Linked DNA regions of Tribolium castaneum. The protein of the gene in region 3 purifies or fractionates together with the protein of the main gene of each other region. This does not show direct contact. Links are inferred from orthologs where the notes say so. Each region holds a gene or a part of one and is shown on either strand. Other genes may lie near its edges.

Region 1 (11,097 bases), on a different chromosome or scaffold from region 3:
CCACTGGTGACCTGCTCTAATTCCCGCCCTAGATACAAATACTCACGAAGAATTCTAGTCGGATTAATTTTCTGTTGTTTGGGAGATGCGTTTTTAATCTGGCCTGGATATTTCGAAGCTGGGATGTTAGCATTTGCCATCGGGCACATTAATTACATTCTAGCGTTCGGTTTTAAGCCTCTTAATTTAACCTTAGGTGCATGTTTATACGCAATTAGTGTAATGGGTATGTTAATGGTTTTATTGCGAACTTTCCCCGATTGTTCCAATTGTAGGTATAGCATATTTAATGTCAGGTTTACACGGTATTCTAGTTCCTGGTGTAATTATTTACACATTTATCTTGACCACGATGATGTGGAGGGCCATTGCTCGAGTCCAGTTTTTTGAGGTAAAATTGTGAAACTAAATGAATTTTTTTTTCGAGTGATTTTTTCAGGATTTGTGGACTTGGAGCAAGTTATGTTCGTGTGTTGGTGGAATTCTTTTCGTTCTCTCCGACCTTATACTGGGTCTAGATCGGTTCAAATTCTCAGTTGATTATTCACAGGTAATTCAATTAACATTTATTTGTGGAAAATTAATTATTTTTTAGGCCCTTGTCATGTCCACCTATTATGCAGCTCAGCTAGGTATTGCGTTAAGTGTGGTAGATGCCAAATCTCAACGTAAAGTAGAATAAGTAGTCAATGTCTAGTATAAATACTACACTGGTTATGTTTGTGTTCAGGCTTTGACAGTCTTCCGTGCAAAACAATTTATTATGCAGAGGTTGGATTTTTTGTGCACGTAATAACAGCATGTAAATGAATTTCTGCCCGCTTGTGATAATTACGCGTTCGTAGCAAGACTTAAAAAAACAGTTTCCTATACTTTGTAATTCCAACCTACCCATATTTTTGCAAAAATTGGTTGGATTTAAATTAATTTAAAACGATTTCTGCCGTACTATTTTTTTGGGTTCAGAAAACCCTTGATTTTGTATCTCGTTTCGTCTCCTAAGCTATATTGTTTGACTGGGAAAAGAGGTCCGAAGATGAGTATTAGGTAAGGTAAAGCCCACCAAATAAAGCTCACTTTTTAGTCTTCCTTTAATTTTATTTCATCAATAGGCTGCACACAGTGTCTGTGATTTTAAATATAGTATAACCTTGTTTTTAGATGTTGAATAAAAAGTATGTAACATAATACTTAATATACAAAATAAAATATAAATATGTAACACTTGTACTTCACCCAACACGGTAGGTATACAAGTTTGCAAAATAGCCGAGAAAATTTCCTAATCTAGTTACGTGTAAACGATGAAGGGCCTTTTTAAGGTACTGGTTTTGACGTTTAGCTACCGCCCAATTAATACTTGATTTTATTCTGTCGCCCTTATTCATCACATGATACAATGTAAGTACGCGATCATTTTTTGAAATCTTGCTCTTTCACTCCGTCGTATTGAGATTGTTCTTATCTAGAAAAATATGCTTTACCAACTTGGCCATAGCCGAACTACAAGTAATAAAACTGAAAACAAAATTGTACTAAGACTAGATTCACACTGTAGTAGTAACAAAATCTGTGAAACTTACTGGTAGAGCATATTACAAAACTGAAGTGATGTTATTAACACGAAAACACGACTTTTTATACTTAATAAGGTAACTAGAGCCTAATTAAAATATGTGAAACATCAAGGTATCAGAAACTTGGTTCTGAACCAGGTCTTACTGAGTATTGCGAACACTGTGAACCCCTTGAGATACAATTGTAGTCTTTGGGCACTGGAGAATTACCTTTTTCCAAAAGCACTCCCGCCTCCATTTCGTTCATTTCCTGCGAATTGTTCGAACTGTTGCTGGAATTGCCGCGCTGACGGACCATATACGGGGTGTTATTGGGCGAGGGCGTCTCACGTCCCTAGAACACAACAACGGTTGGCTAACTGACGCCTGGAACCGCAAACGCACCCCACAAACAAGTCAACATGTAACAAGAAGTTAAAATACAATTAGTTGTTTGGGAGATGCTTCAGTGTTAGTGCCACCAATAAAACAAGTTAGGTAAAATAGTTTTATTAAAACAATCACAGATTTTTTCGCATTAATCACACAGTGGATCACAGCTGTTAGCAAAAACCAAAATTTAATACCCAAGCCGCATTATTTTTTTACTCTCACTTTCAAGAGGCTTCTCTCCAACTAAGAAAAAATCAATTATTTTACGGTTGTTTTAATGTGCGCACTTTCGATTTTTCGGTCGTAACTTACTTGTTTCGATGGACCGCAGCATGTGTTTTGCACGCAGTCGTCACTGTCTGTGGTTTTGGGACAATCAAGAACACAATCTTCGGTTTGGTCAGTATCTGTGATTTCCGGAGCTTGGTAATCAATGAACTCTGGTTGGATTGTCGTCGAGTGGATGCCTTCGTTGTGGAAGAATTCTTTGACTTTTTCCGCGATTTTCATGTATTCGGATAAATTACGGCACCTGGCATTTACATTAAGAGAGGGTTAATTAACCAGAAAACCTTACTTAATGTGGGCTGAAGCTATGATTCGGTCTCCGGCCAATTGCCAGACGTGAAACTCGTGCACTCCTACGACTCCGTCGACTTTCGCCAGTAACCTCCGCTGGATTGCGTCGACTTGAATATGCGTCGGGACAGTTTGTAGTAAAATTAAAGCCGAGTCTCGCAACAAAGGCCATACAGAGTTCATTATTAACAATACCAGCAGTATGCTCAAAGCTGGGTCGATGTAATTCCTGTATTTCCACGACGACAGCCAGAAGACAACTGCTGATATAATTACGATAACTGAGCCTAAAGCGTCGGACAACACGTGGAGGAAAACCCCCCTCATGTTCATCTGTCCGGGGCTTGAGTGCCCATGATGGGAGGATTTCTCCGGCGGAGGACTGGGATAACTTTCGTCGTTTTCGTTATCGTCAGTCATGGCTAGTTGTGTTAGGCGGTTTCGACTATGGGCCAAACGACCATGGGAATGACCATGGCTACTACCATGCTCTAAAACTCGCCCATAAATAACAACCAAACGAAATCGTCCCCATACCATGAAACAACAGCAGTCCTATACAATTAACAAACAGACCCAACGCACCCACAATGACCAACAATTGTGGGTCGTGAATCGCTTCGCTCTCGATGAACCGTTTGCAAGCTTCCACTGTAATGGAAAAACAAAGAGCTACGAGGAAGACGGCGTTGACTAAAGCACCAAGGACTTCAGCTCTGGCCCAACCGAACGTGTTTTTCGACCACTTCTTCGGAGACATCTGGAATTTTCCGAGTTGGGAAAATCGTACGCTTTTCATTTGCTTTACCTTGACTGAGACAAAGGCCACCATCAAGGCGGCCACGTCGCTTAGCATGTGGAAACTGTCCGCGACCAAAGCCATCGAATTTGTTATGTAACCTACGACTATTTCGACGAAGAAGAAGGACGTCGTCAGCCCCAACATCGAGAGCAGACGACACTTTTTTCCGGCCCATTTTGGCATTGTGATCTTTAACAACAAAAAAATTAAAAGCTATGCATTATGTAATCGCCGCTATTTTCACGAACCTTTTTCTGCCTTAATTGGTTGTTAAATGTGACTGATAACAGTTTGTTAACACAAAGGGAATTAGTCAAGTGTTCAAAGAATCCACGTATGAATAAAATATTTCAATTGTTTATTTGCCATTGTATTAGGCGTAATTAATTAGTTGAACTATCGCGTTTTTTGATAAATTTGAGTTATTCCAGACTTTAGTCATTTTTTCAGACAATGCCCATACAAAACAAACAATTTAATTCGGTGATAATGAATTTTTTTATTTAGTGTTTGCCCCGAATAAACAGTATTTGACGACAAAGGAATTGTGCAATTTTCACAATCTGGTTGAAACTGAAAACTACTTGTCAGTCGGTTGATTATTTTTTGGACATCAATAACCGCAAAACCATCACTGAACCGTCCGATAAAAGCACGACCACTTCCTTTAAACTTGTGTTTACTGACTTGTTTATGTCGTTAGTTTGAAACTAAACACACTCATTATTTTTCTAATCGACCGCTTAATCCGTTATTTACAAGTGTGGGCAATTAAATACTAGCACAAAACACTATATTTTGCGCTCAAAAATTTAGACGTGATTATGCTTTCACTTGAACTCGGCACATATTCTTTCCAGATTGTTGTTCCGATATGAAGAAAGCATAAAACCAAACAAAACGTTTAGAAAAATGAGATAATTGGGTGTTTGACCTGCTTATTGATTAAGTTTGCATCACGAAACGCTCGGATCTTTTGTCTCTGATTTCTACTTTGGAATACTTCGCTCCTGCACATAAATTTTACTATTAGATAAAATACTGATACGAATAGTTTGAGATAACGATAACATGAAATAGGTAGCAACTGACACAAGACAACCATATTTCTAGCATTGACCGCGTTGTATTTGCATTTAAATCGATTATAACAGCAAGGTGATTTAACAGATTCTACAACGTCGAACATCCTAGAAATCGAGTAATGTAATATTTAAATTCCTGCTGCATTATTCATACACTATACTGATAATTTTGCAAGGTTGCTGCAATATTTCTTATGTAAATACAATCGAAGTGATGAATTTTTACCACAAAAAAATTTTTCGCTACAAACGCAATTTACAACGTGGTTCACCTTCGAAAAAATCACTACGAAGTTCGTGCTATCAAAAATAATAATATTTAACAAAGGAATGTTCGCTTATTGCAAGATGAGTAATTCTTGGAATGAATTATTAAGTACCCACCACACTTCGGGTGGTAATAGTAAACAAAGGAGAAAGTTACATTTAAAGATTACAACGCTTTATGCAAAAACTTTCTTTGAGGAAATATTATCTAATAAAAAGTCCTCACTTCTAATAACTACAAGCAATTAAATCATTTCCAATCACGTACAAATTCTTGCTGAAGGCTCATTATAACCGGTTAAGTTGTGGTCATAAATCACCTGCGGTTAATCCGTACTTTTTTAGAGATTTTCGTGATGACACGGCGTTTTCAAATTTGAAACAGTTCAGGAAACTGGGGGCAAATGCAAGTTTAGTGACATTAGGAATAACTGTACAAAAATAAATGCGGCTGTTGGTTCCAGTAATAAATTGTGTTGTTGGGGGTGCAGTAGTTTATTAGTCATTGTTTCTTGGCTTTGGAGTTTACGAAATGTTTACAATCGATAGCAAAGTGGGTTATTGATAAGCTTTTTGTACGTAACTGTTAACAAAGCAGTACCTACACAGAAAAATTCTCACCTGTTTTTTGTTAAAACTGTCTCACTTGTGTCACCATATTACTGAAATAAGAAGCATGGGTCAGTTTTTGTAGATTTTTACAGTCTCCTGTGTAAGCACTTGTAAACACGATATCACAGCATATTTGCCTAAACTTGGAGGGTTTTTGTTAAAACGAAATAAGACATTAATTAGACGCCTAACTGAAAACACTGTAGTGGTTAATGGAAAAGCTGAGCTTCTTGTTAATTATTTAATACATAAGCGTACGTCATACAATTTGACAGAAGGAAGGACACTTCACTACCATAGAATCACCACAACTGAAGAACTGACAGACAATAGACCACTGTAACATTTCAGCCAATGAACGGACGAGTTTCTAATGACGTCAAGAGAAAAATCGTCAACACAAACATAAATAAGCAACAAATAAACAAAAAAAATTCACAAAACGGTAATTTTTTTGTCCTAGACACGAAAAAGCCACGAGGCAGTCGATAATCGCCTTGTAGAATTTTTTAATTATTTTTATCGCGCTATCTAGCACACTTTTATGTCATTGATAAGCGTCTTGTGGTGGGGACAATAGGCGCCAATGCAATTTTAAATTAATTAGAGAAAAATTACATTACTTTTTACTCTTTAAATTATCATTACGATTCAAAACTGCTATTTTGATTACTTTTTTAATTTTAATATTGTTAGAGGGAGTGGAGAGACCTCTCGAGTGGCCAAGTGTCAAATGTGACATAACCCCCATAACCCCAAAAAAATCGCTATGCGGAAGCTTTTTTGGAAAACGCTGGGTTCGGTGGGCTTTGTAATTCAATATGCCTGTGTGGCACACTGCACTTTCGAATATCTAGGCGATTTTGTTCTGGTAACAAAGTTAAAAAAATTATCGTTGTTTAACGAATCCACAATTTTAGTGTTCAGGGCCTTCAATGGAGCCAACGATTTACTCCGATGATATTTTACTAACTGAACACGTCAGTGCTAGGCTGAATCGAATAGATAGAGGAAATATTGTCATAGCTAAATGTCCTTCCAACCCTAAGCAAAATATCTGTAAGAGAGTGGTTGGTTTACCGGGGGATAAAATTAGGCTTGGTTTTAATAATTACGAAATCGTGCCTAGAGGTCACGTGTGGTTGGAGGGCGATAATTCGGGTAATTCTTCCGATTCTAGGAACTATGGGCCAGTGCCCCAAGGGCTCATCCGCAGTAGGGCCCTGTGTCGAGTCTGGCCCTTGAAGGACATTAAATTGTTAACCAACTAATTAACCGGACTTTTTATCCCAATAGCCAATAATGATAATAGAAAACTGTGATTTGTTGATTTGTAAATTTTATAAATATAAATTAACAAAAATGTGGGCTGTTTTATTTTGTTTTTCTATTATTTTATTTTGAAATCGTCCGTAAAGTAGTACTTTTCCGGACTCTTCTAATCTTAGATTGACTAAAAAATAGAATACAATGTGAGCACACCGTAGTAATGGTTGCATAACACTCTATACAATTATAAAAAAATATTCGTGGTTGAAAGAGACAACTTGAGTGTCCTGTTAAATAAAAAACTACAGCACCTTACAAAATGCAAATATGAGAAACACAAAACACTACATTGTATGTGCAGCTGTATAAAAATCCGTTTGTACCAGACAATTAATTATTGTTTTATCAAACACTTTACTATTCCAGATAGTACCTAATTGTTATATGGCAGATAACTTTAATCTTCGTTTAATAAAGTGATTTATCATGTATTTATTTTAGTGAGGGATAAATTAGCAAAATTTTCTATACAAAACGCAGTTTTTGCAAAATAAAAATTTTCATCTTTTGTTTGGTCTATGTTGGTTTCAAGTGTTTCAAATGAGTTAATAATAAAAGCACATGACCAAGACAGTCGCAGAAATAATAAAATGTTTATTACGCAACCGACATTCAAAACAATACAAAATTTATTGAATTTGTGTTGGTCTTTTATTATTTTATTACCGCTGTGATTTATTTTAATTGAGTTTGTTAATTTTCTTTATAGACTTTGAATCGCTGCAGCAGCACTTACATAATATTATTACTTCAGTTTGTGGCAGAGCAGTATTTAAAAACTCATAGAAAAGTATGTGCTACATTTTTTTTTGTTATAGTTAGTTGAAGATTTTAGGCGGTAAGTAAAACACGCTAATAAAAAATTGTTTGAAGTTAGTTTCGATTAGTGCACCATTTAAAATTGTTTACAATTGCAATAAAAATTCTGCCTTTTCATTCTCATAATTAATCACAAGTCGAGCATTATCTAGAAGGAGAAGTTGCCAATGCATTAAACTATATTGAAATATTGAAATTAGGTCTCGTTCAATATCTGGGTCAAAGATTATTACTTAATGTAGTACAATGATTATCTTTGAAAATTTTTGTCGTTTGGTACATTCAGAAGACTCATGGCTTTTATCAATCTACAAACATGATAGTCACTCGAACATCCAAAACTAAAAGCTTTTGTAAGCGCAGTCTTTAATTTCCGTGCAGTTGGTCATAATTTTTCATAATTGAAAGTTAATTAGTGATCTCACGAGTACTCACTACACGATAATTAGTTAATTGTGTTAGTATAGAAGCTATATTTTTTGGTAGACTCTCTACAAATCGTTTGTGCTGTGTCATCTTTAAAATAATAGGAGAAACTAAGTGCCCCAACACGCAACAAGCCAATTACTCGCCAACATCTTATATAACGATCAAAGCAGAGGATCACCTAGTTATCACAGTGAGATTTGCAATAAATTTACAATGCGTTCGGTATTTTTTATTGTTATTTCGACTTTCGCAATCGGACAAACTGCCAACATTCTCGGAATTTTCCCCATGCCTGGCAAAAGCCACTTCGTTATGTTTGAACGCCTGTTAATAGGCCTTGCAGAAAAAGGCCACAATGTTGATATTGCCACCCATTTTCCGACAAAGGATCCACCTGCCAGGTAAAAACAATTTTTTCCCTATCACACTTATTAAAAATTGTAGGTATAATCAGCTAAGTCTAGTCGGAAGTCTGCCGATTTTCGTCAATAATTTATCCCTCAATGCATTTGACGGCTTCACAAACTTCCACATGATTCACTTCATGACCAAAATTTGTGGCGTTGATGTTTGTGCAGCGACTCTAAACACGCCAGTTTTGCGCGACTTAAAGAAAACCAAAAAAAAGTACGATCTTGTGGTTACTGAAATTTTCGGCTCGGATTGTATGCTGGGCTTTGGTCACTATTTTAAAGCCCCAACTGTCTCTCTAATAAGTAGTATAAGTTTGCCATGGGCCGGGGACAGGATTGGGAATCCAGACAACCCCTCCTACATTCCAAACTATTTTGTTTCAACCACCGCAAAAATGAGCCTCTTTGAGAGAGTCGAAAACACAATTATGTTGCTTTATACCAAGTTTTTGTAAGTTTGTGATAAGTAATTCTAAATCATTTAACAAAAATTAAAGGTACCACTACTTCTCGTCAAAGGAATCGAACAAAATCGCAAAGGAATTTTTCGGGCCCGAGTTACCATCTCTGGAAGAGTTGGCCCAAAACACTAGTCTTGTGATAGTAAATAGTCACTTCAGTATTTCGCATTCAAGACCAACTGTACCTAATTTTATTGAAGTCGGGGGGCTCCACATCCATGAGCCTAAACCATTATCCAAAGTAATTCCCCCCCCCATCTTTGTTTTGTTTTGGTATTCAAGCACACATTTGCAGTATTTTGAAAATCTGGTCACAAGTGACGCCAACAAAGGCATAATTTACCTAACAATGGGGTCCATGATCATGACTGAAACCTTCGACCCGGAAAAACTGCAAGGAATGTTTGATGCTTTTTCCGAACTCCCGTACAAAGTTTTATGGAAAGCGAAACGCGAAAACTTCCCTCAGGGGCTAAAAATCCCCAAAAACATTCATTTCGAAAACTGGATGCCCCAGATGGACATTTTATGTACTTTACTGTTTATTAATTGAACTGAAATTAACGTAATTTTTAGGCCACCCGAACGTTAAGTTATTTGTCTCCCATGGCGGTTTGATGGGGAGTCAGGAAGCCGTCTACTGTGGGGTTCCCCGTTTGGGAATCCCACTTTTCGCCGATCAGGACAACAACATCCGTGCTTCTGAACGCATGGGACTTACCATTAAAGTGGCATACGACGATATCAGCAAGAAAACTATACTTGAGGCTTCGAAAAAATTACTAGAAGACCCAACGTACAAGCAAAATGCTGAACGCGTTTCGAAACAGTTTAAAGATCGGCCTTTGTCTGCCTTAGACACGGCCATTTATTGGGTGGAATATGTGATAAGGCATAAGGGAGCTCCGCAATTGCGAAGTGCAGGGGCGGACTTGGCCTGGTATCAGTATTATTTGGTGGATGTTGTTGTTATTCTAGCTTCTGGACTTTTCGTGTTTTTGTTATTGACCACGTACGTCTTGAAATTAGTGCTTCGCTTTATTTACGGTAACCACAAACATAAAATTGAGTGATTTATTGGTTCCTGGTATTGTACATAATTTGTTTTTGTATTTTTTTGAATATTCATTAACTGCGTCAAACTATAAATGTAGGTTTTGTCGTATTTTTAAGGCTCAACATTATTAAAAACACTTAAACTTTATCACATGTCTGGTTTATTTAATTTTTTATTGTTTTTCCCCTTGATAAACAAAATTGGAACACTCGTTTTAGCGAATGTGGCGTCAAAAAACAATTATGTGCGTATAAAGCCCACTGCAAGGTAATGTTAATACAAATAAGCCGTGTCCGCAAGCTGAAAATGTTATTTATTTATTTATTTATTATTGTGCCGAGCGTTTCAATAACTGAAACGGCCAACATTTTGGGAATTATGCCTTTTCCTGTGAAAAGTCACTCGATTTTATTCGAGACCCTCCTGAAACGTCTTGCTGAAAAAGGGCATGAAGTTGATTACGTCACGCATTTTCTTTCCGAAAAAACCCCAGAAAGGTTCACACAAATCCGTAATTTTAAATTACTCAATTGAGTCTTTAGATACAACGAGTTAAGCATTCGTGGAAGCCTTCCATTATTTCACAATAATTTTTCAGTTAAAGCTTTAAAGGATCATTCCGTTTACGAAACGATAAAATTTGTGACAACGTCTGGAGGAGTGGATGCTAATTCCGCAATTATGAAAACTGCAGTTTTGCAAAGTCTGAAAAACACAACGAAACAATACGACTTAATTATTACCCATCTTTTTGGTTCTGATGCAATGTTGGGTTTTGGGCACTTATTTAACGCCCCCATTGTGTCTATAACGACCTGTGCGGTTCTTCCTTGGGCACACGGACGAATCGCAAATCCGGATAATCCGTCTTATGTCCCAAATTTTTACACCAGTTTTCTCCCCAAGATGAATTTGTACGAAAGAATCGAGAATACAATTTTGTGGATAATGACCAGAATTTGGTAAAATAATGACTGTGATTTTCTTGTGAAAAATACAGAATCTTGAAGGTATAACTACCTGACCATGGCTCCCTCAAACCGCTTGGTTAAAGATTTTTTCGGACCTGATACACCGTCTTTGGAAAATCTCATTCAAAACACCAGTCTTGTGCTCGTTAATAGTCATTTCAGCATGCAGCAGGTTAGGCCAACTGTGCCAAATTTCATAGAAGTTGGGGGGCTCCACATACGCGAACCTCAGCCACTACCAAAAGTAGCAAAAAATTCGTAAAAAATTCAGCTACAGGTGAAGTTTCAGGATTTGGAAAATTTAGTCAGCAATAACACGTTCGG
Region 2 (10,942 bases), on a different chromosome or scaffold from region 3:
ACACTCCTCAATCCAATTTCTTTTAACGATTTTTCCCTTGCCTTTCACTTGATTGAATTTGGGAGTATTGGTGAAGGCGCAGCTGGGAAATAAATTGTTGGCCATTAACATTAATAAAACGGATACCTAAACTATAGGATGCGACAGCGTCGCGACGTCGACTGATAACGCAGTTGTTCCTAGCCCGTCTTATAAGAGAAATGAAAAATAAGGGTGAGCATAAAACAAATAAAAAATGGCCGGCAAATAGAGCATTAAATTCTTAATTGTAAAACGAAAGGTAAAGCAAAAATTTCATCAATTATAATATTAAGAAAATACAAACAATTACAAGAAAAAGTGGAAGAAACAAAGCTGTAGATTGTAAGAATTAAATTTTTTTTTAAACAATTATGAATTACTAGTTAAATTTTTGAGTCGAGTTATTTAAGTAAAAATTCTTACATTAAATGAGTGCAAGAGTTGTCCCAGTCGGGCTTATATTTGGCCCCCATTTCCAACGCCATCGTCCTCAAATTACCTCGATCAGGATTTTGTATGCCGCTAATGACCAAGGTCACACCCCTCAACAGTTCTGAGAAGGGCTTTCTGCGTTTTTCAACTTTAATTTTTTTCTTGGGGCTTTCTTTTTTGCTGGATTCGTGCTTTCGTTTGCTTGTCTCTCCCGAATCTTTAGGTTTGGGGGAGAAATTCTTGGTTTTTGTCTCCTCTTTGGCTTTCTTTTCAATGATTTTATCAATTTTTTCGTGAGGTTCTTCCTCATCTTTATTGTAGAGAATTTCGTTCCTGTTTCTTGGTACGGGTTTATGATCTTTATTATTATTATTACTTTGTGACGTGTTATTAATTTTTAACTTTGGTTTTGTTACTGGTGATGAAGAGGCTTCTCTTATGGCAGCTGCCACGGAAAGGGGCTCTTTTTGAAACTCCTGTCTTCTGGCAAATAGACTCCCAGATGTTAGATTATCAGGCGAGTCAGGCCTTAGCGTAAATTTTCCAATGGTTGTCTGGACTGGGGTCCCGTTTGGCTTGTCTCCAGGCGTATGGAACGTAATAAAAGACAGCCCATATTGAACATGTCTGTTGAAAGGTTGAGTGCAAACTATCTTGACTCTGTCCCACTTTTGTTCACATTCGGGTTTGGATAAATGCTCTTGGGTGAACATTCGCACCTTGTTAGGGTTAGTCCCTTGACGTGCCTCTAAAGGCGTCATGAAGGAAGACATTACCAGTAAAACTTTGAAATCATCCGTGGTCCCTGATCTTGAGACCAGGACTTCAATATATGCGGAATTTTCATTCCCGATGTCAAGTGCTGAAATTAGGGACGCTTTCTCGAGCTGGAGGACAATTGTGGCCGAGCGTTCGCCCGCATCTTTGCATTTCCATTTTTTAGCGGGATCGCTGTTTAGAACGTTATTTGCGACGTGAACCTTTAACATTTATTTAAAAAACAATCGTTTACATGTAAGAAGTCTTACGGAGTCCTCGCTGCTGAAACTAACAACGTGGTCAAGCTTTATTTTGGGCATTTTACCAAATAAACTTGTGCAATTCAAAAAACATGAACATAACCTTAAAATTTTGACGGGGTTTTGCGCGTCAAATTTGAATTTTGCGCGTTTGTGGAGCAATCAATCAGATTGAAAGCAACAACAAATATTTACCTATTCCTATCTAAGATTAATTTGAAAAAATACTGCTTACGTTCCGATTGAATCATTAATTAAATTTATAGCAGTCGAAGAAGCGGCTAGTAACAACCAATTATGTAACGATTATTCGATGATTTTACTCAATAATGAGGAATTTTAAGTGATTTAATAAAATAAAAATAGTCGATTCATCTATGTCAAGTGGACTCGGTTCGTAAACAAGTAAAAATATTAGCATACCGCCCAATATCACCTTACAGAACGCAAGAAAAGCCGCAAGGACGATGAGCGAATTTCAGGACATTCTGAACACAGCGAAAAGAAAGTGTTACGCGAGCAAAACCACCGAAATTATCACTGGGAAATTCTGCGAATTGATTTTCGACGATATCTTGTGCTGGCCGCCGACTCCCGCTGGACTTTTGGCCAACCAGTCGTGCTCGAACGAGTACATAAAATGGACCAGAAACGTAAGTAATTCTGAACTTTACTCCAATTTATTTGGCAAATTTATCAGAACTACGCCACCAGACAATGCGACAGTGACGGCCAGTGGTTTATCCCCGAGAATTCGACCGAATCATGGACCAACTACAGTCAATGTGGTAACATTTCCGAATTTTATCCGATTTTAGATGACTCGCTCCGCAACCACACTCTGTATAACAAGTGGCTACCAATTATCAAAAATATTACTCAGTGTGGCTACATTTTATCAACGGTCTCACTAATTATATCTTTGTTTGTCTTCATACGTATCAAGTAAGTGCCACCATAGGAAAAAATAAAAGTGAGAAATTTTTTTAGGCGATTACACTGCGCTCGAAATAAGCTTCACATTCACTTATTTGCCTCGTTTGTAATGAGGGCCCTCATGTCTCTGATAAAAGACGGATTGTTCATCGAGGGGACGGCCTTACCGCATGAAATTATTCAAATAAATGGAAAGCTAGTTTACAACAAAACTAATTTCGTGAGTAGCTTTTTCAATCACATAGAAAAAAACTAACGGTTTTGTTTAGTCCTGGGTTTGTAAAGCTATAATAAGTCTCTGGAATTATTTCATAATATCAAATTACATGTTTCTTCTGATGGAGGGCGCCTATTTACACAACTTGCTCTTTTTGAAATTGCTTTCGGAAAACGGGGTTGTAATTTATTACAGTTTGGGGTGGGGGATCCCCCTGCTTTTCATAATTCCGTGGATTGTTCTAAAGGCCGGGAATGAAAATATTTACTGTTGGACAACAAAATCCAGTAAATTTATTGCAATGTTGATTGATGTCCCGATCGGACTTACGGTGGTTGTGAGTTTCCAATTTAATTAAAAAAAAATGTTTGAAGCACCAAATTTTAGATCAATTTCATTTTATTTACAATAATCGTCCGAATACTTTTCGTGAAACTGACTTCGATGTACATTCAGCAGCGCTGGACCAAGTACCAAAAGCTCATCCGTGCTATTTTAATTTTGGTGCCTCTGTTCGGGATCCCTTACACGATTTCGTTCGTGTTATCGTTCTATGCGCTGGAGGACCAGACGTTTGAAATAATGTGGTTATTTTTTGACCAGACTTTTACAGCGTTTCAAGGACTTTTTGCCAGTTTGGTTTATTGCCTCTTGAACAGCGAGGTTCAGATGGAGATAATGCGAAAATATAACTCTTTCAAGGACCGCAATCGGGAGTTTAAGAGGCGAAGTCGCACGATCTCGCACACGCAACAGATTCCGCTGACTGAAGAGTTGCAAGAAATGCCGCACAACGCGGGGATTAAAGATCAGCTGTGCATTAACAAAACAAGTGATTATTTTTAAGTTTATTTATTGTAGCTTTAGTTCCACACACAATAAACTTAAGTAATTTATTTTCCTCTGAACTATTACATAATCACAGGACATTATAAATATAATATAGAAAAATCGCTGATGCAAATCATGCAATGACATAATACTAGTACGGGCGAATTTGGTCTGGGAAACTGAAGAGCTGCCGGTGAAATGGTACAAATTACCAAAAAATAGTTCCATGTTTTTTATTTTCTGTAATAAATAATCCTCAAATATACAAACGGCTTAATACCTTTCCCTTAAGCCCTCCGTTTGATTATTTACAAATACAGTAAAATGAACCGCTGTCAAATACTTTATTCGAAAACGTAACAACTACAATTATACTATTCTTTCAAAAAGAACAAATTTCCTAAGGAAAAATGGAACGAATAATGTACAGCAAAAAAACAAACAATCGTAAATAAATACAACTGCAGGATTGCATGATGAAAACAGTGCTGGTGCAAGTTATACAAAAATTACTATCACTCCTTACGAACTTTTCGTTTCCTCGCGCCGTCACCTGCACCTTTGGATGACTGTTCCTGCGAGAACATGATAAACCCAATTTTAATTTTAACGACTGAATCTCACCTCTGTTTTTTCCTCTGATTCCTCTTCTTCGTCGGAATCAGGCCCTGAATTCTTTTCTCTATCGTCGTCTTCTGCATTTTCAGCTTCTACTTCATCTTCTTCTTCTTCTTTACCTTCTTCTTCTACAACATCTTCAGTCGTTTCGTCAGTCTTTTTATGTTGCGCTGCTTGTCGAAGCTCCTCTTTCTCCTGTCATTGTCACTTATTAACACCGCAAAATTTAATGCAATAGCCAAAATACCTGAATTTGACTAGCAGAGGATCCAGGCTTGCAGCAAAGGTATAATACAAAAACAACAGGGATGCCTAGTACGATAATGTATACTCCCCAAAGCCAAGGGTAATCATTGGTCAAGGTAGCTAATTTTTGAATTACGCTTTCCTATGTCAAAACAAAGAAAACTATAACTAGCAGTACGAAAATACCTCTTGAATGCAGAAGTAGAGGTACCATATGTAACAACAAACCGGTATGGCGCAATAAACGAAATATAAGAACCACGGTACAGGTTTATAGTTTAACTTTTTCATAAGACGACCCCACAGTGTCCTCTTATTTAGTAAAAAATCACAAATATAATAAAATTCATTTAAATTAAACAGATACTAACCGAATCCTTGGCGATCTTTTGCTTCTTTTTTTCAAAAGTGGCGTCTGCCCAATGGTTCGCAACGGTAATATCGTCGGTAATAATAATATTGTCGAAGAAAATGTCCTTTGACATTGACCATAACTCAAATCCAACAGCGGTCTGAAAAAAGTTATTTGTCCAAAGATAAATTAATCTTGAATGAATTGCAAAAATACAATTCTTTATTTAGGTTTACAAAACATTTTTATCACAATACGAACGCAAATTCGCCAAAATAAGCATAAAAACGATTGGGTGTGGCTAAGTATATATTACTTCCTTAGTTAGCATATCTCACATAGCAACTAAATCCTTTTGTAGTGACACAAACAATTCTTTTTTGCAACATGTTTTGTTGAAGGCAACAATGCAATAATCAAATACGCAGTTTCGGTAAAAATATGGAAATTAAACAACTACAATTCTGCCAAAAACCAAAGATAATAAAAAAAAATCGCAAAAATAAATGTGTCAATTTCAAGTTGGCTCAATTTTATCAAGAGGCAATTCTTTTACCATTTTCTCACTGTCCTAGGCACTCTAAAAAAATTGCTAACAAAATTAGAAGCTCAGAATTTGTTATTTTTGTACAAAGCATATCGAAATATACTTTTCACAAATTCTGGAAACTGGAGAGGAAACTAGAGCTGACAGCCAAATTTTGACTGCAGATTTGTAAACTATGTTCTAATAGTGTACAAAATCAACTGATAAATTTGAACAAGAAGAAAAAATAATGTAAACATATCGGCACCAATAATTACAGTTACATAAACAAGATAATTTTTTAACCATTTACTTACAACAGTCTGCATTTTAAAGGGATGCTTATCTTCGAAGAACTCGGGATTGGGGATCCTCCTGGGCCTCCACTTCCCCTTATAATTAGGATTATCGATAAGCGGCGCCCTCCACTTCCCCTTATAATCGGGATTATTGATAAGTGGGGGCTCCCAAGGCCCACACCCGACAGCATCCTTACAAGCGGGATTATCAATAAGCGGTGGTTCCCACTCCCCGTCCATTTCCGAATCCCAATCTTCTGGTTTCTTTGCATCAGGATCGAAAACATGCGACGGTTCATTATCCAGCCAACCTTCCGGTTTCACCGCTGATTCATCAACAATCTGAGCCGGCGCATCCTCATCCCAATCGTCAGGTTTCACGGCATCTGGGTCAGGGATTTTCTCCCTTTCATCCCAATCCTCAGGTTTCTTGTCATTAGGATCGTCAATTTCTTTCGGAGGATTCACTGCCGGGGTGAAATCCTCAAGCAAACTTCCCGAATTGACCACTTTGTTGTCGATTAGGATCTCGAAGGTGTTGTCAGGGTGCAGGACAAGGGTGAACAAGTGGGGGAGTTTGTCGGAGAAGACTTCCTCAATGCGGTCTTTGGGTTTTTTGCAATGCTTTTCCTCGACGCTCCCGTTGAGAGGGTTGCGGTGCTTGAAGATAAAGTGGAGCTTGTGGTCGTTACCGCACTTGTCGGGGCCGAACATGATCGAGTAGGGGGTTTTATCGTGGAAGTTGTTCAAGTTTTTACTGGCGGAGTCCTGGGTGAGCAGCTTCAAGTAGGCTCCGCCACATTCTTGGCCGTCTTGGAATATTACTTCATATTGCACGATTAATGGTTTAGTATCAAAAATAAACGGTTTTAGGAGAGAGGAGGCAATAGCAGCGTGTTTAGCCTTTGATTTAAGCACTAAACCTTTGTCGCCCACTAGACTGTCTTTTTGGGTTGGTTCAAGTTGCCATTCACCGTCGTATTTTGCGATGTCTTCGGAAATCCCTTCTTTCTTCGCTTGGGATTTTATCCAACGTTTCGCAAACTGGTCTGGATCGTCGAAATGCTCGGCGAAATAGACCTTTTTCGGGTCAAGGGGGCTCGGACTTTCGTAGGGGATATCAATGTGTGATTCTTCCGGTTCTACTTCCACAGTAGCCTCGTCAGAATCGTCCACTTCGTCACATTTTACCGCCGAAAATATCAACAATAACGTGATTACTGCCGGAACGAGACTTCTAAGCATTTTGTGATCATATATTGTCCTGCAAACCAAACCGGGCACTAATTATGTGTCGTGATTACAGGATGACGAAACGGAAGCAGTATTTACTAATATAAGTCAGGGACTAATCCAATTTAAAAAATTAACCTGAAAGGTTAGTGAACGCACTTCCCAATCGATTAGTTACGAAATTACGCCAAATATCGACAAAAACGCACTCTCTTACCCAACTATCGACACGCTATTACTACAAAATGCACAAAAAAGCCGACTTCACGATGAAATAATTAAAATTCTAGAGACCGACAAAATAAAATGACATACCTAACCTCAAAATCCGGAAGTAGTTTTACACAGCACTCTTACAACACTAGCTTCAGCACCACAGTCTTAACTCAAATTGGTGTTTACTTAGGCTGTATTTCATTTATTATCAGATTATTTTTATTGTAGTTCTTGAACACCACGTAATACACCGCATTTATGAAGAGAATAAACACAAATTCGCCGACCAATCAGCGTCAAACAGATGGCAAAGTTGCGCTCAGTTCAAAAATAGGCGGGGAAAAAAAGTACAAACAGTTAAAAAATGAAAACTTTATTCACCAGTGGTACAGAAACGATCACAGTCGTACAAACCAAATAAAAAATGAGCAACAGGTGTTGGTCTTTGATTTAAAATACTGAGCTTGTTTTGGCCCTGATATAATTACAAATCTTTGGCTTTTAATTTCCTCAAAGCTGTCTCCATTCCCAACTTGCCCGCAATCACAGCATGACGTTCGATTTTATTCCAGATAGTTGCCATCATCAAAGTGTAAAACATAAAAAGGGTGATTAAAATTTTCAAAATGTGGTAAATAAAATTCAGATTGTAGCCGAAAGGTAGGTCAGTTGCAAGTGTCGTAACCAGCAACACGATTAAAACGAACGTAAAAAACCAGTACAAATATTTATGGTTATTCAAGCCCCTGAGTGCGTCATCACAGATTTCTATGCTCTCTTCAAGGACAGTTTTCTTCATGTGTTGGTCGCTTTTCAGCGACCTTATCTCGCTCTTTGTGACGATTAAAGTCGCAGCGATTGCTTCATGGTCCGAGTAACTGTACGCACATCCGGGGATTTTGTGTGGTAACGGCAATGTGTAGCTTTTTAAATCGATTTGTAAACTTGAGCCTGGATGATACATGATATAGTCGATTCTTTTGCCAGGAATGTTTTTCTTGAGTAAGGCCACGGGTGTGTAACTATTAGTGAGGCTTTCATTTGTCGCCACACAATTCTGCACCGTTTCTCCAGCTTCACCAAACGCATCTACAAGTCCCGGAACACTCAACATTATCCTGTAGGCTAAATCTCCAGGTTCGGTATTTAAGTCCCCGGCCAGGACTACTAGGTCGGCGTCTCCAGACGTCATTTGGATAAATTGAGCGGTATCGAAAGATTGGAGCACTCTGTGAGCTTGGTATTCATCACAATTTCGGTCGTATTCTGCGTGCAACTAAAATTATTACTCTTTGTGTTGTTCATCAAGCAAAATAAATCTTACATGTGCAGAGTAGACGTTGACGGTGTAATTGTTCACCTTTAATTTACATAAACCCACGCCCTTTCCACCAAACCAGTCACCATGGTGGATTTTATGAATGTAACCATTTACTGGCCATTGGTGGAAAAAAACGTCCTCCATCGGGTGTCGCGATAAAATACAAACGCCAGAGCCCGTGACTCCGCTACAACTCACCTTTACGCTTGTTTCAACTGAATTTTTGAATTTACCTGTAAAAATAGTGAGAGTATGGTAACACCCCTGAGACTTTGTTTCTGATTAACTGGTAGTCAGAGTCAAGCCATATCTCTTGGAGGCAAACTACATCGTACTGGCTAGTCGCCAACTTCTCAGCTATTGCCTGCATTCGGTGTCTTCGGTTCTTGGAGACCACCGCAAGGCCCCTAAGAATTTTGTGCAATTTTGTAACATAAATCACATGACAGCTTACCAGCAATTCAAAGTAAACACTTTAAACTCCATTATTACAGAAAATGATAGATTTATAGAAGTATTTTTGCGAAATAGATCTAACTTTGTGTTAAAAGAACAGTGACGTGTGACATTACTGTTGACATTTTTCCTGCATGGCCACGTGACAGTTGTCAAACGTCCAACAGCGTAAGTTAAAAGGGTGGCGAAACATTAAATAAATTAAATCGACTCGCAAAAATTACCAGAATGTAACAAATAATCAGGTAACGACCAATAACTTTTTTCGGTAATTTTTGGATGAGTTAAGCTTTAATTTGTAACAGAACTTGGCTGTAGAAAACGAGAATGGTGGGAAATGGTGGAAATGCGTGCAGGGATTGTCTGGTCGACTGTAATGTTTATGGTGCTAACTTCAATTAATTTCGGACGGGTGAACATTCTCCGGTTCAGACGTCTTGTTCAGTGCACAAACTCGCCCAACCACATGTGAAAATAACGTGTAAATGCGTTTTAAAAGTTACTTGTTCAGTTGTTGAATAATTTGGTGAGATGAACGAGTTAGCTGTTCCTCCTGCGCCCCTTTGGTACAGGAGTTCAGTGTTGGCGTGTGCCCCTGACAATACCTTGGTGTATGGCGCAAAAAGCGATATTGTTATCGTTAGGGAAAAAGGCCCCGAAGAACCGGCCGAAGTGAAATTGATTCATTCGGCTCACTCTAAACTGTACTTGAGTTTTACGTTTCTTGGCCGTTTTTCTACAATTGATGTTTCAGTCTCACTTCCGTTAGTTTGAACAGGAGATGGAAGGAGCCCCATTCGTACGTGGTGTCCCTGGGGGAAGACAGCGTGATGAAGGTGTGGGACTTGGATACCTTCGAGAAGAAAACGTCGAATAGGGATCATGTGGTAAGTCTGGTATTTTTAAGGAAAGCACAATGAGATAATGATGATAGGAACACAAAAACCCCGTAATTGGGGCCGTTTTTGCGGGTGATGATCGCGTCGTAAGTGCGTCATCGACCGGTTTTGTACACGTCTGGAATATCAACACGAATGAGTCCAAGCCTTTGGTAGATTTATTCAAAAGTAAAGTCACTCTGACTTGTCTTTCGTCGTGCCCCCATGCCGGCTGGCTCATGGCCTTTGGACTAAATAACGGTGTGGTGATCGTGGCCGATTTGCGTCGTAAGTTTGCGCATAAAAAATACTTTTTGCTCATGTAATTTGTCCAGGCAATGGGCAAGTTTTGTATAAATTGAGGGGGCATTATCAGGCGGTTGTTTGCTTGTCTTGGTGTCCAGCACCCGTAAATATCTTTCCGAGACATGGCCAGAATACGGTTAAAAATAAATCAAGCGAAAGTGAGCACAATGAGGGTTCTAGTTCAGATAAGACAGTTGAGACCAAAGAAAAGGTCAATCCTTGGGTAAATCTAGTTCATGCAGATGATGGCGAAGCCTCATCTGGTAAAGAAACCCTCTCGGACACAATCTCCGATTTTTTGAAAGATTGTCATCTTTTGAAAAGTAAGATATTAGGGCTTGAACCAGAACTTGTAAAATCAGCGGAAGTAAAAAACTCAGCCGCTGATAACGAGGCAGAAAGCGAAGTTGAATGTGAACGTGAGTTTGTGCCTGAAGTGGACTGTGGTAGGCCTCTGCCGAAACTGTACGACCCAAGTGGCGACTTTTTGGACGATTCTGTGCTAGATTCCGAAATTATCGAAGATAAAGATGAAGGAAATGAGAAGGATATTGAGCACACGGGCTCAGAAGTGAAGACTGATCAAACGGACGAAACCCGCGAGAAGTTTGACTCGCCGGAAAAATCCGAATGTGATAGCGTTCTGGAATCAGAAACTGAAAAACATGATAATACTCCAGAGGAGTCGCCAAAAATTGCTACTCCAGAGGAATCTCCAAAGGTTGTAGAACCGATTGAGGAAGAACCAAGAGCTGAGTATTTGCTCGCATCGTGTGGAAAAGACAAAAGTGTTTACATCTGGCGGGCGGGGACTGACGGTAGAATGCAGACGTTCTTCCAAGCCGCTAAAAAGGGCAACAATCGCAGGAAGAACGAAAGCACTTGGATGTCCCTGTGTTGGATTGCCCCAGATTTATTACTGACCTCGTCAACAAAGGACGAACTTCTAGCCTGGCCTTTGCCCAAACCCAAAACGTATAACCCACCAATTGTTAATCTTCACTTAAAAATAAAAATTTTTAGACCCAAGCAATA
Region 3 (11,239 bases):
CCAACCAGAATTTCCTAGCTCCAAAATAGATCTTTTCAACAACTTGTTTATCACTAGACATAAATTTTTTCACAACTTTCTGCCGCTGAAGAACGAGAAAAAAAAATTAGTTGAAATGACCTTAATAATCAATGGTTTTAGGATATTTCTGTTTTTCCCCTTTTTTGGATTCGACGTTTCCGTTAAGATGTCGTGTCCCACATCTGTCGATTTCCGTTCAATTGTGGGTACAAAAACGTGTAATTTGTTTATTTCGCGCTTTGACAATGTGTCGTGTTGAAAAAACGTCGCAGTTGAATCGTTGGCCGGATTAAAGAAGACACGGAGCGGTAAAAACCCACTGGGTTGATATTTTTATGGCGTTGGTCGAAGTGGACAGGAGGCGGCTGCTTCCATTCCTCGCATGTTTCGAAGTAAAAACTCTTTGGCCACTCTTTCTAGTCGGGTAGATTGTTTTGTCTTCGTGAGTTTAGTATCGCTTGGTGACGTTTGTGTAATTAGTCGATGGGGCAGGTGTCGAGTGCACTCAACCTCTAATTCAACGACCTTGCCCGGATTTTTTCCGGTAAACGAAATTAAATAAATTGCTTTCTAATATCTGGTCCCAAGCCTACTTTCAATTTTACAACAATATGTAATTACTCGTCTTAATATCCGGTCAGAGATTTTTTCACTGGAGGGTTTTGAGGCGAAAGACAGGATTGAGTTGGGTGACTGGATTTGGTTTAATTAGTGGCAAGATGACGGGCGATTTTAATTCAAATTATGTACACTATAGCGCAGCTTACAAACGTACAAATTACATTTCAACCATTGTCAAGTCGGTACTGTAAAATGTTACCTTTTTTCTTCTCTTATTTACGTTTATTTATTTATTTATATACGTATGTATTTATTTATCGGGCTGTCTGTCAGACTTGTAATTTAGTGTGACTGTGTTTAGGTCTTATTGTAATCGTGAAAAGTGTTGACGTCACTTCAATATCGCCCGTCTGTCAGAACGCTTTTGTTCATTTTCTTAATGCAGCTACTGGCTTAGCTCACTTTTGAGCTTTCAGCTACTGGATTCCACATAGATTGACTCGCTGATGCCCACTTGTCTAGTGCTTGACATCCACGACCATGGTGGGAAACGTATCCTGCACCCATTACCAGCATTTTCACTCTTTTATAAACCACCAAAGTGCTGTTTTCCGAAATCAAAAACCCGAGGGAATGAAACCTCATTTTCTTATTTTTAGCAAGAAATGAGAACGAAATTCGGAATGACAAATTGATATTACTTGAAAAAAATAGCAAAGCGATTTAATAACAAAGAGTTTTTCGATGTGGGGTACTGGGGAAAATAGTTGCAGTGGAATAAGAGGAATATTTTTTCTTTTGGTTCTTTTGCAGAATCGTAATGCCAGAATGGATTTTAGTTCTCGCCCTTATTATAAATAACTTATCTGAATAAAGAATGCACGTTTGGAACACGTTTTGGTACTCGCATCTCGTCTCGTATATTCGATTCTTGCAAGGGGTCCGAGTATTTTACTTCGGTCGCAATCAAAATGTGATCGAGCGCGCCGCGAGGTATTCCGAAATACATAAATTCCCATATATTGTGAGAGAGAAGCAACCCCCTCAGTTCCACCCTTAAGTAAAAATATATGTATCGAGTATTGGAATCGAATCCCGTGCCTGACACTCTGATACATTTTAAATTCACATTCGTAAGTACGGAAAATAAGTCTGATAGCGCGTCGGGAGAGAACGCCAGGGCCTTTGTTTCCGTTATTAAGCCCAGCCATTTTTCCATTTCCCGTCTTTTCTTCTCTTGCGTTTTGTTGTTGTATTTCATACGAATCCGCCTTGATTAGTTTCGCCTCCCGGCCTCTTTTCCGCCTCCTTGAATCATGCCTCGACGAAATTTATTCCAATACTTGTTGTTTACAAGACATTAGCCATATCGACTCTCTCTTATACAATCAAAGGAGAACAAACTGCATTCGACAACAACTACAATTAATCTAGAGAGAATTTTCAGACTCGAGAAACGACCATCATTCGTCTGCCAGACCAAAACTAAGCTCATTCCGGATTTTGCAATACATAGTTAAATGTGTGCACGTTTTGTCGTGTCAGCTCGCAATTCACGCATCATCGTGAATGTTTAATACAAGTCGCTCGGTGTTTTTCTCCAAAACCCTTATGTGAACGTGGCACATGCAAGGAGAAACTGGCGAGTGTGTGTGTCTCCCGGAGCCGTCCTCCTCCCTTTCCGGTCCCCGGATGCAAACGAGCTCCGAGATAGAGGCAAGAGACACCGGAGATCGAACGGTGATCGACTCGATGCACCTTCAGGATGCAGATTTGTGACGTTTAACGCGGTATAAACGACACTGGCTGTCTCACAGTCTCGTTTCGCATCCGTTTCAGCTTCAGATTTTCATCATCTAATATTCAGTCGAGTTTTATGTGGAAAAATGACGACCGAATTAAAAGGTGTGTGAGAAGAATGTCGAACCATTCAGAAAGTTAATTTATCCGTCTAGCGAGTTAATGAGATCCCGTAATTTTGGCTGTCGTAGTTAGTAAATAAAATAATTAGCGCCGGTCCGGCCCTGGATTATTTATAAAGTCGGGTGTTAACAGAAGAGACGGCGGGCACCTCCCATTCGTACCCTTTGAAATATGATTTTAATTAAGTTCTCATTATTTATGTTGATGAGGAGGCGAAGATAAGTGCAATGTTAATAACAATCATAACTCCGAACGGTAGCAAATAGTGGATGGAACGGGCCGGAATGCCATCGAGGCGGACCTGATAATTAAAACGGTCGGAATCCGGTCGGATTGTCGGGATCTGATATAGACCGTGTTTACATACCTGCCGACCGGCGATTTATTCATTTAATATTTAAATGGGATTACTACCGAAGGGAATTGGCGACCAGGTAGCCCACTATCGATGCTAATTCTCTCCGACAACTTGTTGGCTTGTTGGACACGAGCCGGCCCTGTTCTCGACGCGTTTACATTCTTCACGCACGCTTCACGACGGAAATATCAGGCAGGGACTTACCGAATTTTCGGCACGAAGAAAAAAACAGAAAATCGATTTAAAAACTATATTTTCTTCCTTCCTTCCACCCCACAAATGACAACTTCGTCTTTTAGACATGGAAAATGGAAATTTAACAATGAAACGTTATTAAGTACAAGTTGATGTGGACTCTTTTTATTTAACTTTTAACCTCTTCATTTTTCAAAGTCCAAGAAGTTACTACTTTTTTGTTTCCAAAAGGTTACAAATAAAGTGAAAAAAAGTTAAATATTTTTGTCTGATTACTTAATATGTAATTGCGAAAGGTTACTATCCAACACCAAAATGTCCCTTTGGACGAAAAAGTTTTTTGCGAAATTGAAGTTTTAAAAATGTTTTTCCTTAAAAGTCTGAGTATTTTTAAAAGAAGCTTGTCTCTTTTGTCGTTTGATGTACTGAGTTCAAATTTGAATCCCGCTGACGATCTTACTTTTTACTTTTTCAAGTAAATTTTGTGTGTGATGACGCGTGTGGTACAAGATACTTACATTTAATTTTTGGAATCTCCAATGACAATATACATATCTCCCGATTTGTCATAATAATAAAAACAACACACGCATATTATTATGACAAATCGGCAAAAAATTCAGAGAATCACATATTTTGTTTCAATGTTATAAGCTAGGAAAGCTTAGATACCGTACAAATTTTAAGTACATTTCTGACAAATCTTCAAATATTGATGATCGATGATAACATTTTGAAGAATTTTTTTTAAGAAATATTTAATAAACAAATCAGATAATATGCTACTAACTCTTTAATAAACTAATTTTATTGTTTCTCTTAAGAGGACACCTCCATTAACCAGACAAAAACGTGTCACAGTGGGTGTCCGTTTATTGGAGACTTCACTGTATTCAACTATCGCAAATCTCATAAATGTTTAAAATCTTCACATTCCAACTTAAATTTGATCACCTAATAATACTTGAAAATTGAAATTACATAGCATAATCAATAAATTTTCGGCCTTCAGATATCAAACGTGATTTTCCTAAATGTATCCAAACAAAAGGGTTTACTTACCCATTTCGTTTAAAGAAAGGAAAAATTGAAAATTTATTGAATAGTGTTTTATGTAATGGCCAGTAGATTTTTCATTTTTCGATTTTTTTCATTTTTGCATGCTCTCGTCACTATTAATTTATTCAAGCGTGCATCTCTCGGTCATTGTGAAATTCGGGTAGTAAGCGCGCGTGACAATTATGCGTTTTTTTGGAGGGAAGTTTGTCAAGGGACGTAGTTTACGAGCGGTCCCTAAGGTATGCTAACCTCCGGTTACGTACCTTCCCTTTTAGCTAGGCACTCAACGTGGCTCCCAGTCATAGTTCTATGCATCGCACGCCGCCACGCACCACTTCAACATATCGTTCGTCCTGATAATGTATTCGTATCGGGAAAAAGCTTCGCTACCGACCAGGAAAACGCATACGTTTCGTAATTTACACTTTGACGACGACGTTTCCGTCGAAGCAAAAGAAGGACTTTTGATGCCTGCGTGATGTATTCATGACGGGGGTTAACAAGAGTTTGTGTTCCCCAAATCTGACGCTACGATGAATATTTCAAGTTATTGCAGACGTTCGAAGAGGATACGAAGGGATTAAGGTGACGCTTTGTTTCTGCGAAAAGGGCGGCGGAGCAAAAATCGATGCTCAAAAAATAAAAGAATAAAAGATGAGATTTACACAATGCAAAATATCTAATGACAGGATACTATTGTTATTTTTATTCTGTACAAAAATTGCTTCAGCCCCAGAATAGCGTCTTGAAATTTCGAGTGATTAGTTTGTGTCAGTTGTTTCATTTTATGAAAATGTAGTTACTTGTGGCTATTTTTAAAGGATGCTGTCGTAAAGACGCTATTGTAATGGAATCAAAAAAGCAAAAATCGCTGTTAGCCGAGGCACCGCAATGGCATTGTATGCGATTTAAAATGCGGTCCCAATTAGAGCTTTTGAAGCTGTTATACATTGACGATCTTTTTGTTTTATCGCAAACATTTCGTAAACACAATCGCGATTATTCAGAGCCCGGCATATAATTGGCGTAAATAACGACCGGGCGCGCGTACGAAAAGAACCTTGAGACCCCTTTTTAAAAACTTATCCCGAAGAAGAATTGATCGCATTACAGAAAAATCTAAATCACAAATGATACAAAGGGAGTAAACTTTCTTATAAAAACTACATTCCATTGTACAAAATCCAGTTAACTCATTTCACAAGAGCGAGTCTCCTTTGCGAATTAAACATTCCGGATTGGAGCGAGCGGCAAATGTGAGATCGTGCTGATCATGGACCCGGACTGTATTCTTTTCTTTGAAGTATTTTAGGGAGCGGGCTCGGTAATGACGTTGCCGGAGTAATCCATGCATACACGGGCTCTGAAACTACCCCACACACACACATTCGGTTTCTTTTATTTTGCGAATCGCGAAAAGATTTGATGAAAATCCCCGGCTGCGAGGGGCGAGGGCCCAATCAGCGCCGAATTTAAGATCATTATCGAGCGTCGAACACCTCAAAAGGACGATTCAAACAAACGCTCGCGCCCCGAGATGGACCATTATCCGAAGGAAATCGATCGAAATGATAGCGCACAATGGAAAAATTTGCTCCCATACCCAAAAACAATTTTTAAAGGGTTTTTAAAGAAAAGACAGTATAACAAAAATGTACATTCTTTACTTTCTAATTTTTTTTTCATCAATTAGGTACTACTTTATTTCTTCTCGCATCCCTAAGCGGCTTCTTATGGATTAGTCCGTTATGACACAAATACCAAAAATAGAATTGCAAAAATTATACACCCAATAAGAAAGTGTTTTACTGATCGGTTTTATAAAAACTGCTAATTAAGTAAATTAGCTTTATTAATTAGGTACTATTATTTTTAGACCATCCGATTAAAAAAAAACAATAATTTTGTGGTTCCAAGTCAAGTTTTTATTTACAGAAAAAGGGTAATATTCAGTCGAGATATAGATTTTTTCGAGTATTGAAAAACTTCATTTTCTAGCAATTTAAATGCACAAACAGATAAATAAGACCCCACCAGATCTAAATTATGCAAAAGACAAAACGTGCGGTTTTATCGATATGAAATAACGCTCATTACAGTCACGATACTCTATTTACTCATATCCACCACGCCATCTCCGAAGAACTCCTAAAAAATTACCCACCTGGACACTCAACATGACCTTAGACTTCTCGAAAAGCATCTTCGTGAATCAAGTACCGCACAACAAACCATCATCACCTTGACTGAACAATAAATGTCTTAATCGTGGGATTCTGATAAGATAAGAAGTCATAAAACGAATTCTGGTTTGCCAAAAGCGGGCAAGTAACGAATTCCCTGTTTAGCAAATTGGTTTATTCGAAAACGTTTAATAAAAATATGCAGTTTATAAAATCCCCGATTGTGCGTCGTTGGTGTATCTGGGGAGTTTCGACGCAAAATTGAATCGGGACTCTATGCCCACGTCCTCCGAGTCGCCCCCGCCATAACCAACGTATCCATAAAATATTCACAAAGCAAATACTGATTTATTATTGAGTAATTGTTAATGATTGGTGGACGCTTTGATGACCTACACGTAAAGAAAATTGACGATAATTGGGTTTGCACAGCTACATGGATTATTTATGTAATCATTGTTCATAACGAGGGGAAAAGAAAGCAAAGAAACCGAACGAAAACGCTCGTTTTTCAATCTTGTTGAAAAAACCTAGGCAAGGGGCGATTTTCAGGCACAGCAAGCACACAATCATTAGCGTGTTTACTGACCTGGCTCTTGTCAAACTGACTCAGGAAGTGGTCCGTTTGCTGCTTCTCGTACAGAGCCCGCGCGAGGCCCCCACGAGGCTTAAAATTCAACGTGGGCCCTATGTCCTGATCGAGACAAAAATCACGATCCGGTCCTGATGAACTTTTGTAACAAACACCATCGTCCACCATCGCGGAAGAGTTGAATAAACAATGAATTTGATGACAGACAAAAGTGAGGTTATGCGGCACGAATTCACAAATTTACGCACTGAATTGTCTCAAGTAGTACAAAAATTGGTAGGTTTTGTAAAATCACAAAAAACGTATGTTAGGGTCAGGGAATTGGACACGTAGGAACGGTTTTAGAGCGTATTTGCTTTCACTTTTGACAGTTATAGAGTCATTGAGTTGGCAGCGCTGGATTTGAGATGACAAGAAACTACTAGGCGCGTAATTTGAATCAATTTTCGTGGGCTCGTTTTGATAAAAATGACTTGTCAGAATAATTAGATTAAATTCGAAAGTTGCATTGATCGTTTCGTGGAATTGTTCTTTAGAAATGAGCTGAGTAACAAGTTGTAATGAGTCTTTTGCAAGTAATTGCGTAATTGTCAAAAATATCTTCCATACATTACATTAATAACCGAGGTGAAAATCAGTTTTGAGCGAGAGCCGAGGTCCATTAACAAAAACCAGTAGCACGATGTTAATTTGAAAGAGATTTTCTTTTTTGTTCCTCGATGGACGTATTATGAAGCAGTGGCTAATGTACAGGTCTACCAGATGGAATTACAATTCACATTAATCTCAATTGTTCGGGGAGAAAATAAAGAAGACGACGTTGGTTCATTTCGGTAGCCAAACAAGAGCGACTTAAAGTTAATTAAGAATGAAATTATGACTGTATGCAGTTTGAGTGCAAAGTGTTGAAAATTGAAATTTTAATTAATCTTGGGCAAGACGAAGAGGGGCAAAAAGCTTTCATTAAGACGTGACTGGAGGAAATCGTGTCCGAGGAAAAAACCGACATTGAGTTTCGAGTAATTTAAATTTAATTATAATCCGAAATTTATACACAAACAAAAATCCAATTAAAACGGCGGAATTAAATTCGAGAAACGTTTTAACACGCGAAATCTCTAAATCGCATAAAAATTATCCGTGCGCATGATACTTTATTAGTGTCGAGACGTCGGCGAGGAAAACCGACCCAACTTACCGGACCCTTAAGGGCCGGAATTCCTTAAGGATTTTCCCGGTTTTTTAAATTGCATCGTGTAATTTCTACTCGAGTATAAATGAGGTTTTTTAATTGGAAATCCGAGCTGCGATCCGGAGGGACAAGAGGGCGTATAGTTAGCGATTTATTTTAATGAGAGTTTCGTTTCTTACGCCGAATCGCATGCCAAGTAGTCCAATAACGAAATATTATTACAATCGCTCTTTGCAGCTTTTATTGCCCTTTTTTCATTCGACGGTAATGAACGTCGTAAAATCCTATTAAAATCGTTGATGTGCCGGGGAAACTCCTTAATATAAGCCCCCACACAAATTATTTTACCTAATTCTCACGGAATCGATACGAGGTGGAGCTTTTTCGTGATCTTTTACTACATCGAAAATAAATTATTATCAAATGTTTGGATAAGCAATATTTTTATTGATGTCACAGCATTTCGTCATATCACGACCATATCAATCGAATATTGATTCCAACCCCAATCTGTCAACCTTCAACACCGCCGCCAACAACCTATGAAAACAAAAAAAAAACAGTGGACAAACGAAATCGTAATTCCCACAGCGTTTCAAAAGTAATCATAAAACCGTAGGATCCCAAAAATATTTTTATTTTTTTCGGACATTGAACTTGTCTTGTATTGAAGGCTACTTGTTACATTTGATTAAACTTAAAATACATCCTTGGGTTCCTTTTACCGTATTTTTATTGAAATAACGCAAGAACAACTTAAGATTCTAATAAAAACCTCGTTACAGCGTTCCATCAATTCATAATTCCCGTTCGTATCGAATCAAAAAAAACCTCCTCGTGTTTTTCGATTAATTACAAATTCCGTGAATATTTCCTAAATGTTCGCCACTTTCGAACAATTTTAAAAGCGACAAAAAATTGTCATTAAGCACATGAAGGTTATTAAAAGACTTTTTACAATGCACCAATTAGTCGCTGGCTACATTATTGTTCCGTGAATAATTCAAAAATGACAATTGAGTGAAATTTTTTGCGCGACACTTAATAATGGAAAAATAATAAATATTACCGTACACTTCCTCCTCATTGTAATAATTATTGTCGGAAAGAAATACGCTGCTTACGTAACCGATTTATGTACGTTGGAAATTTTGTGGTGAATTATCTGCAGGAGTTCACCCGCGGAGCTTTCTCTCATATCGAGGATTTATGCGACGAGGAGTGGAAAGGCGAACTTGAGGAGCAACGAGATTTTTTGTTTTTGTAAGACATGTGAAACAAAAAAATGCAAATAGAGCAGATCAACAATAATGACGAGAAAGTTAAAAGTGATGAAATTGGTTTAAGAATAATTAAACACTCAAAAACTTTGCATAGTTTAACAAGCTGAATGCTCTGACGCAAATTAATTTAATTCTAATCTCAAAAGTGATCGAAAAAGTGCCCCAAATCGCTTTCATATACTTATTGTAATGGTTGATGGTCAGTTAGCCACCCATTATTAAAAGATCTACTTATTATTCTTGACAGCAAGCAATGTTTCTTGCATCGTTCCGGTTCGTGAAAACAAGTAAGTCTTTATTATGTAAAATATGGAGAAAGTTCGGTGAGTTATGTTATCGGCTGCACCCTGTATATAGGAGTGCACTTAATTGTGTGAAAATCCCTGAAATTAGTCTTCAGCTTTACTAATTCAATTTCGAGTAAGTTGCGTGTTCCGATCGGATTTAATTGCTTAACGATTGCTCCGAGTGCTTTAAACTCTGTCATTATAATTAATCAAGAGAGTAAAACATAAAAAGCCGACGTTAAATGGCATTCCAGAAGTGCACTTTACGAAATTAAATTTCTGGTCTGAGGAAGGATTGCCCGTATTTATTAAAAAAGTAACAACAGGTACAATATCATAATTTAGCTGTAATTTTATAAAATTATAATACTACTTTTTGAGAATACTTTTTTATTTTTTTATACAAGGTTTGTCAGAAATACGCGTGTTAATTTTAACAGGTAACAGAGTTCAACAAATAAAAGATTTTTTCTATTTGTATTTTTTCAATAAAATTATAGTACTAAACTATCGTAAACTAAACTCTTGTTTTTTCAAAAGTGTGTTTAAAAACGTTAGGTTATATCGGTGTGCCAAAAGTCTCTGGAAATGGATATAGTGGTCTTATTGACCGCTAAAAATAAATAAGTAAAAAATAATAGAAAAATAGAAAAATAATAGAAAATAGAAAAATAATAGACCTGACCTGACCTGACCTGACCGCTAAAAATAAATAAATAAAAAATAGAAAATAATAGAAAAAAATCATTGCTCCTTATTTAAGATGCAGCAGCTCGTCAAAATTGGAATTGTAGGAAAATCAAACTTGTTAGCTTTGTTTTTAATGATTTATTTTAATGTTTACTTGACTTATTATCAATTTTTTCAAAAAGAATTAGGAAATCATTTCTTTTGGTTTTTAAAATGAGTTAAAAATACCAGTTTAAAAGTGCAGCAACATTTAGTAATGTTACCATGGTAATACTTTTGGTAAATATTTTTCTAAACATATAAAAATAGGTACACTTGTACGGCGTTGCCATTTTTTGTTTTTGATTTTAGCCAAATTAAAGGTTTTGTGATTTTTTTTATCGAAAATAGTGTTCTGTATAAGCTCTATCTAGGTGCTCTTAAGAGCCTATCCGCAACATTTAACACACCTGATACATAGAGGATAGTTATTTTTAAAAATTACTTTGAATATTTTGAAAGTGGATTAAAAAAATCACTAAATTTTATTTAGGTAATCTTGAATTACCGATTGACAAGTAAAATAAAACGTTCATATAAGTAGTTTAGTAAAATATTTCTATTAATTTTATTTGATTTGATTATTTATTTGTTTTAACAAGTTTATACGTTTTCCACAAGTCACAGTAGATAGATGATTAAATTATTAAGCTATTAAAATTAGATACATCATTTAAAGAATCCCTCCGAGCTGTACAAACAATTTGTTTTCAAAAAACCTTTTTATTTTAAGTTTTCAGTTATTTAAATATAGATATGAACGGAGAAAGTTTGAAATCATATTATAGTTTTTTTAAACATAATGGAAATAGCGTTCTGGTTATTTTTGCAAAAATTAATTTTTAGGATTGTATCC

The links.
Region 1: the proteins of protein-L-histidine N-pros-methyltransferase (region 3) and ZnT63C purify together in Homo sapiens (co-immunoprecipitation; 3 studies listed by BioGRID and IntAct, with this or other methods). This does not show direct contact. The link is inferred for Tribolium castaneum from reciprocal best matches to the Homo sapiens genes METTL9 and SLC30A1.
Region 2: the proteins of protein-L-histidine N-pros-methyltransferase (region 3) and calnexin purify together in Homo sapiens (co-immunoprecipitation; 3 studies listed by BioGRID and IntAct, with this or other methods). This does not show direct contact. The link is inferred for Tribolium castaneum from reciprocal best matches to the Homo sapiens genes METTL9 and CANX.

The regions. Positions count from the first base shown.
Region 1 is NC_087402.1:2,129,536-2,140,632, reverse strand, and holds ZnT63C (proton-coupled zinc antiporter SLC30A1), read right to left. Parts: upstream 5,778-11,097; 5' UTR 5,304-5,777; intron 3,611-5,303; exon of another isoform or gene 3,579-3,610; intron 3,520-3,578; 5' UTR 3,514-3,519; coding exon 3,337-3,513; intron 3,289-3,336; coding exon 3,066-3,288; intron 3,020-3,065; coding exon 2,527-3,019; intron 2,482-2,526; coding exon 2,262-2,481; intron 2,193-2,261; coding exon 2,172-2,192; intron 1,912-2,171; coding exon 1,693-1,911; 3' UTR 1,466-1,692; coding exon of another isoform or gene 1,437-1,465; 3' UTR 1,078-1,436; downstream 1-1,077. Other genes in the region: radial spoke head 14 homolog, read left to right, coding at 33-226, 276-391, 440-550, 596-682; mitochondrial inner membrane protease subunit 1, read left to right, coding at 6,064-6,165, 6,215-6,565; UDP-glycosyltransferase UGT5, read left to right, coding at 8,085-8,272, 8,316-8,735, 8,782-8,986, 9,041-9,275, 9,322-9,818; UDP-glycosyltransferase UGT5, read left to right, coding at 10,073-10,299, 10,345-10,764, 10,813-11,017, 11,063-11,097. UniProt on the Homo sapiens protein: Zinc ion:proton antiporter that could function at the plasma membrane mediating zinc efflux from cells against its electrochemical gradient protecting them from intracellular zinc accumulation and toxicity.
Region 2 is NC_087402.1:5,185,636-5,196,577, forward strand, and holds calnexin, read right to left. Parts: upstream 7,247-10,942; 5' UTR 7,051-7,246; exon of another isoform or gene 7,046-7,050; intron 7,043-7,045; exon of another isoform or gene 6,948-7,042; intron 6,762-6,947; 5' UTR 6,743-6,761; coding exon 5,516-6,742; intron 4,833-5,515; coding exon 4,692-4,832; intron 4,463-4,691; coding exon 4,322-4,462; intron 4,270-4,321; coding exon 4,081-4,269; intron 4,032-4,080; coding exon 3,972-4,031; 3' UTR 3,472-3,971; downstream 1-3,471. Other genes in the region: DNA repair protein XRCC1, read right to left, coding at 1-82, 445-1,433, 1,482-1,532; parathyroid hormone/parathyroid hormone-related peptide receptor, read left to right, coding at 1,940-2,125, 2,173-2,417, 2,463-2,628, 2,678-2,962, 3,013-3,471; nSMase (putative neutral sphingomyelinase), read right to left, coding at 7,431-8,222, 8,271-8,454, 8,501-8,674, 8,722-8,753; gem-associated protein 5, read left to right, coding at 9,255-9,427, 9,478-9,610, 9,658-9,889, 9,937-10,882, 10,931-10,942. UniProt on the Homo sapiens protein: Calcium-binding protein that interacts with newly synthesized monoglucosylated glycoproteins in the endoplasmic reticulum. It may act in assisting protein assembly and/or in the retention within the ER of unassembled protein subunits.
Region 3 is NC_087394.1:24,600,976-24,612,214, reverse strand, and holds the start of protein-L-histidine N-pros-methyltransferase, read right to left. Parts: upstream 7,306-11,239; 5' UTR 7,061-7,305; coding exon 6,890-7,060; intron 6,403-6,889; exon of another isoform or gene 6,321-6,402; coding exon of another isoform or gene 6,282-6,320; intron 1-6,281. UniProt on the Homo sapiens protein: Protein-histidine N-methyltransferase that specifically catalyzes 1-methylhistidine (pros-methylhistidine) methylation of target proteins.